Linked DNA regions of Caenorhabditis elegans. The protein of the gene in region 2 interacts with the protein of the main gene of each other region in a pairwise test. Each region holds a gene or a part of one and is shown on either strand. Other genes may lie near its edges.

The links.
Region 1: the proteins of sftb-6 (region 2) and mafr-1 interact in a two-hybrid assay, tested with the Caenorhabditis elegans proteins (one large-scale study listed by BioGRID).

What each region holds. Positions count from the first base shown.
Region 1 is NC_003279.8:10,621,371-10,625,181, reverse strand, and holds mafr-1 (Repressor of RNA polymerase III transcription MAF1), read right to left. Parts: upstream 2,010-3,811; 5' UTR 2,005-2,009; coding exon 1,922-2,004; intron 1,872-1,921; coding exon 1,532-1,871; intron 1,483-1,531; coding exon 1,361-1,482; intron 1,310-1,360; coding exon 1,117-1,309; 3' UTR 821-1,116; downstream 1-820. Other genes in the region: arch-1 (Protein archease-like), read right to left, coding at 1-48, 94-243, 535-711.
Region 2 is NC_003280.10:96,741-99,664, reverse strand, and holds sftb-6 (Splicing factor 3B subunit 6-like protein), read right to left. Parts: upstream 1,262-2,924; 5' UTR 1,255-1,261; coding exon 1,106-1,254; intron 1,040-1,105; coding exon 772-1,039; 3' UTR 704-771; downstream 1-703. Other genes in the region: luc-7L3 (Luc7-like protein 3), read left to right, coding at 1,723-1,818, 1,864-2,118, 2,169-2,423, 2,484-2,606, 2,858-2,910.

The DNA.
Region 1 (3,811 bases), on a different chromosome or scaffold from region 2:
TTCATGCTTTGAAGTATCAAATGATTCTCCCCATCCTCGGAATTCGATCTGAATAGAATTTAGATTAATTTTCAGAAACTTTTTATCAAATACCTCAAACTTTTTCTTATCAAATCGCAATATTTCAACCCGTTTCGCGACAAAGCATGGTTCAGCGTGGAATGAGTTGAGCGCTTCGTCTAGAAACTGAAATAGGAGACCATCTAAGCTATCGCCAGAAGCTTTCCAGTAGAATTCGTACATCTGAAATAATGCAAAATTAAAATTTTATTTTAATCAGTTTCTTGTAGAAATTGTGGGTTTTGTTCGAAAATGAAGTCAAGAAGGCAAAAATTGAGCTTTTTTCTGGGAGCAGCTTCAAAACTAGAGAATACACGAACAAAAGCTAAAATTTCTACAAGATATCGATTTAAATTGCAATTTCATATGTTCATAAGCATATTTCAAGTGAAGTAAGAAAAATTAGACAAAACAGAGGAAAGTGGAAAAATTCTTAAAAGGCGCAAGAGGCGATCTAATTCAATTTCAAATTACCTCATCAACCTTGGCCAAATCCGTCATATAGCCGAACATTGATACGAGGCATGCTTCGAAGGCTTCTTCCATTGTGGATCCCCAAGAGTGAAGTTGAATATCTGCCGGATGATCGAGATATTCGAATCGCCGACGTTCGATCTCAGAACGATCTTCGATCATTGATGTGCTCGGCATTATTTCACTGAAAATAAATTAAACTGAACTTAACCAAATAAATTTGAGGAAAAATTGATTAAAATATCAGAACGGTTGAAACCAAAAAATAATCGATTTTGATTAACTTAAAAAAAACAATTTTATGTATTTATGATGCGGTTTTTGTGAAAATTGATATCTACGAGCCACGAAAAGGAATGAGAATCGAAGTATTTGTTCCTTTAATCTAGCGGTAGGTGTGTGGGAAGTGGCAAATTAAATGCGAACTCGAGAGGTGAAGGAGGAGGTTGAGGATTGATGAGAAATGGAATCTATTTACAAGAGAAGAACTACAAGAGGGAAAGAGGCTTGGCCGGCAAGACTAATACTATATCGCCTTGAATATTAGTCTATTCTAAGCGTTCTACATGAATAATCTGCACTCTATTTCTCTTGTGGTTCCGCCTCGTCTTCACTGAAATCGGGGAAAATTTCGATGGACGTGTCGGCTTGTTTCGATAGGCAACGAATTGTGAGAAGAACAAAACGTTTGAGTCCTTTGTTGTAGAAAATGAAGGCAAGTGCCCAAATGCAACCGTCTTCGGTAAACGGATCGTCTTCGAATTGGGACTTGAAGCTGAAAAATATGGAAATTATATAAAATATCCTCTCAAATCAAACGGAATACCTGTATATTTGACAGTCACCGGGCACAATTGCCTCATCAATAATTCCCCATAGCTCTTCTCTTCTCACGTGATAGTCTCTGACAATTGTCTCAAGCTTCATATCAACGAGACGGCTCAGGTCCTGAAAAATCATGCGCGTTAATGTTATTTAGCTGTAAGAAGCTACTAACCGAATAATTGACGAGAGCAAACGCTTCACTGTTGGCATTACTGAAATCGTGATCCGGAAACGAACAGTTCAGAACTTGAGTCAGATCATACAATTTCTTTCGCGAAATTGAGTCTTTTATCAGGTAGTCATTCACGTCGAAATCGTTGTCTGATCCTCCTGAGCACGAGCGTTCCGATAAATGGCGAAGCCGATGATTGTGACCAACACTGGGCGATGCACTCATCACCATTTCCTCGTAAGATCCTAGAGGCTGGCGTTCACCCCATATCACAGATTTATCGTTCGATTTCCATTGTTTCTTTTCGCTAGTAACCATTTTCGACGAATACGTTTCTAATCTGAAATTGAACGATTTGTTTTATTCTTAATATTGAGATAAATGACTCACTTGAAATCAATAACACAATCGATTGCTCCCGTAACGAGTGTCTGCGAAAAAACATCCATTTCGGAGCTTTCCAGAAACTTCATGGCTTCTAAAGCTTTTCAATAAATTTCGAGAACATTTGGAGAATTCAAGTGCGGAAAAATCCTACGTAATGAAGATTGCAATATTTAAAATCGCGCATTTTGAAAACAATAATTTAATTTTTAAATTTTACACTAAAATAACAATTTTAATTACTTTTTCAGAACGATTTATCGTGAAGAAAGGAAAAACTGCTGTAAAAAAATCCCATTGATTTAGCAAACTGTCGGCAACTTCTGTGTAATGTGTGCAATATTGTTGTTGGTGTTTGCGTACTTGTCTACCGTATACCTTGGGGGTAAAATGAAATTTGTTAAATTTCGCTTCGAAAGTCGTTTTGCAATTAAAAACTATAGTCAAAACTAGATTTTCAAATAATTGATGTCACAGGGGTCTAGAGAACGAAATAACACGACCATTTATGACAGAATCAGGAATATTTAGATTAAAAAATTAACAAGTTTCAAATCAAATTTTCAAAAGGCAATGAGATTCACAAGTTTTATATTCAATACAAGAATTTAGTGGAATTAATTAGTCCATTTTGGTTCATAAGGTGTTACTGAAATTGATGATATTTGCTATAACTTAATGGGAAACATGAGAAAAAACCTGTTTGAAAATTAGTTTTGCACCCTCTATTAGTTTTGCATCAAATTAGGTGTCCGAAAATTAGTTTTGCACGTCTTACTAATAGAGGATATACGGTATACGGAAAACAATTTAAAAAAATATTTTTATTTGAACGACCACGTACATCTTGATAAGGACTGGTATATGAGCAAGTAGTTTTAGTCATAGTGTTCAGTCTTCAACTTTTCAACAAATGGTCTGCCAAGAAGGATGGGAAGATGATGCCAATTCAACAATTCCGATGCTGTGAACGAAGATATGAGTATGCAAGGAACCTCCGAGTGGACCTCGGACGATGGAGCCGATTTACCTACAGTCGTGTGTGAATTGGAAACCAGTTCACTTCAACCAAACGGAATATTAAAGTGAGTGCGGGTCAGAGGTGTAAATCTGATGTTTTAAAATGTTATAAAACATAAAGTTTACAGCTTTTTGAGTATTGAGAGTATGAACCTTTTTTTTCAGATACTCATACTGGCATATGTCACAAAAACCCCCCGGACAAACTACTCAAGACGAAACGTTCAAAGGATAAATAGAGGAGACAGAGGAAAAAGAAGACAACTCCAAAGTGGGAGCTATTTTGTAAGTTTGTTGTTAAACTCATAAGCTTGTAGATGGCTTGCCTCAATACATTTACAAATAATGTCATATTGGTGTTTATTTCAGGAAGTACAACTGAATCGATTGGAAATTAACGTCAGGATGTGGATTGGAACAAGTAGCTGGAAGTGACTGGAAACCCTACTGTGTCGACGGCGGAGGAGACATGGTGCATGGATGGACAACTGAAACAATTTGACAGCCAGGCTACGTGAAGCTCAATGCTCCGCTCTGATCGACAGTATCTGCCTCCTACCTGCGTTGTTTAAGTAAAGCTGCAGAGATTGAATTAAAGTAATCCATCTGAAAAGAGCATCTCTATTTCTCAATCATTTCGTGTTTTTGAATTTGAAACTGTGCTGTTAGATTTTGAGAGCTTGAAATGGACGTAGTATTGTTTCATGTAGAGAGAAAAGAATTTCGAAAATTGATACAGTGAGCGACGTTCAAAATCGTGGGACACATTTTTTTTCAGCAAAAGCTGGTTCCAAAAAATGTGCAAACTCACTTTTTTTTAAATTTAAAATAGTTTATTCGAAGAAAAAAATTAAATTAAAATTGGCAATCAACAAG
Region 2 (2,924 bases):
TATTTTTTTTGCAGATGCTAAAACAATTTCCAAGTGAAAAAATTGTGAATTGAGTCGGCAAGTAGCAGTGAAAGTGGGCAATGTAATATGATGGATTACGGCTATACAAAACTCAAACTTTTTCTGAAACATGATATATATGCTTTTAAGATGCTGAAAGTACCTGATTTTCATAACGAGACAGCTAAAAAAGTTTTTAGATTTTCAAAATTCAACATTTTGTGCCAAAATCTCGACTTTTTTACCAAAAAAGTTGAATTTTGAAAATCTCAAAACTTTTTCAGCGGTCTCATTATGAAAATCAGGTACTTTTAGCATCTAAACATCATATGTATCATGTTTGGGGAAAAGTTTGGGTTTTGTATTCCCGTAATCCATCATATTACATTGACCACTTTCACCGCTACTTGCCGGCTGAATTCACAATTTTTTCATCTGGAAATTATTTTAGCATTAACAAAAAATATTTATTTATCAGTTTTAATAAGAAAACACGGGAAAAATCGGTGAAAAACACAAGAAAAGAAAGCAAGTAGAAAATGTCGTAAAATGCGGTGTATTGTGTGCAAACACCGATTTTTCGCATTTTTTCTCACCCCTCGTTCGAAAAAAGTTGCAGTGAAAACTACATGGGAAAGGCTTCTAGAAATACTTCTCAGCTACTCTTTATACTTTTTTCATGAAAAGTTCAAAGAAAAATAATCACAGAGAAATTATCATTCATTGAAGGTTGAGGGAAATGATAAAATAAGGTTTAAAGAAACACGATATTTAAATTCTTCTTGGAGTGAACAATCCCAACTTCTCCTTTTCCTTGTCGATGTCTCCACCAATTCCATATCTTTCTTTGATATCTTCAAGCTTGGTACGAGCCTTTTCCGTGTCCATTCTCTTCCACGCTTTTGTCGCTTGATAATAGAGCACCACAAGATACCGATTCGAAACGTTATAGCCAGACAGATGTTCGCAGGCGGTTTTCGCATCGAATATGTCCTCGTAGACGACGAATGCAGTTCCGCGAGTTTCTGCAGTGTTTCCGCTGAAAAATCAATACTGGTCGGGCTTCTTCAAGAACAGGCAAAACCATAATTGTGCTTGAACTTACACTCGAATTTGCCGAACTGCTCCGAATTTTCCAAAAATCTCGTACATCTCTTCCGTCGTGATTTTATACGGCAAATTTTTAATATAAAGAATACGATTGACCTCTGGCGGCAGCTTTGCGCCACGGTTTTGACGATTTGCCATTGCCATTGTGAATCTGAAATTGAAAATTTGAAGAAAAAACGTAATAATAAGAGGCAAAAAGAGTCTCGAAAGCAAATTAAATTTTATAATTCGAAAGATTTTAGCCAACGACACTCCGAAATTCCACAGGGAATTCCACGCGCCTTGTTTATTCATCGAATTCTTTTTTGGTATTGTTTACTGAATTTTCTCAACATTTTTACTGAAAAATGATTCGAAATAGAAAATTCTATTGAATATATTTCATAATAATAATAAAAAAGTCGATAAAATAGTGATCTTAACGCGTTTTCTCAAAGGAAAATGCACAACAACGACACTCCGAAATTACGCATGCGCACTTTGTTTACCGTAAATATACACTAGTGTTTTTGCAAACAAACTTTTGTTTTTTTTCCGGCGAAACGATGTTTTTTTCTGTTATTTCAACCGATTTTTCTCTCAAACTTTCAACAAAAAATAAATTTTACAGTCATGTCGGCTCGCAACGCTATGGCAGCAATGCTCGACGAGCTAATGGGTCCCAAACGGAATGTTGAACTAGGAAAAGACACAAAAGTCACATTTGATGTAACTTAAATTTTTTCCCCTGGAACTATTGATAGATTATTACAGGATCCTGACATATGCCCGTACTTCCTGGTCGGTTTCTGTCCTCACGACATGTTCATCAATACAAAGGCAGATTTGGGAGCGTGCCAGCTAGTACATGACGATAATCTTCGAAGATTGTATCCAGAATCTCCAGAATATGGACAACTTGGCTTTGAAAGACGTCTTATGCGGTTTCTCGTTCAATTAGATGAAGATAATCAGCGAAGAATTCGAAAGAACAAAGACAAATTGTCCGGAATGGATGATAGTGGAAAGGTAAACTCTTTGAATCTGAAAAAAAATGTCGAAAACACGCAATTTTTCAGCGAAAGTTAGAGGAAGAGAAGCGTCAGGTACAATTGGAGATCAATTCGATAGATGATGTCCTGAAAAATATGATACGAGACGCAGAGCAAGCCGGCAGTGAGGGAAATGTGACAAAATGCCAGGAAATAGTCGCGAGAAGCGAGATGGTTGAAGCTGAAAAACGAGGTCTTGAAGAGAAACTTTCACAAATGAACGAACCGAACCCACAAGCCATGCCACCGATGCTTGACGAAATGGCAATTAAGCCAATGGAGGTAAATCTAAAAATCTAGAAGATTTAGACTGATTTTTATCCAAGAAAAATACAATTACAGGTTTGTGAAGTGTGTGGGAGCATGCTCATCGTGAATGACGCTCAACAGCGTATCGAAGAACATTTGACTGGAAAAATGCACACAGGTTTCCAAAAAATCCGGACTATGATTCAACAGCTTAAGGTAAATATGCACACGTATATATCATATTTATATATGCTTTTACTATTAGAAAATGGGCTCTGAAAAACGCTGAAATCTCTCAAGCACACAAGCTGACGTACAGGTATTCCCCCCAAAAAAATGGTTCAGGTTTTTTCACCCTCCCACGCCTTTTTACGTGTCATGGCTCAAAGAGCAGGTATATTTGACTGGAAAAAACTGGCAATATGTAGACGAATTTTTTCGCGGAAAATAAATTTAAAAAATTTCAGGAAAAGCTGAAGGAGTTTGAACAAGCCGAGGAGACTAAAAGAAAAGAGCGGAGGTACTAGCAATCAG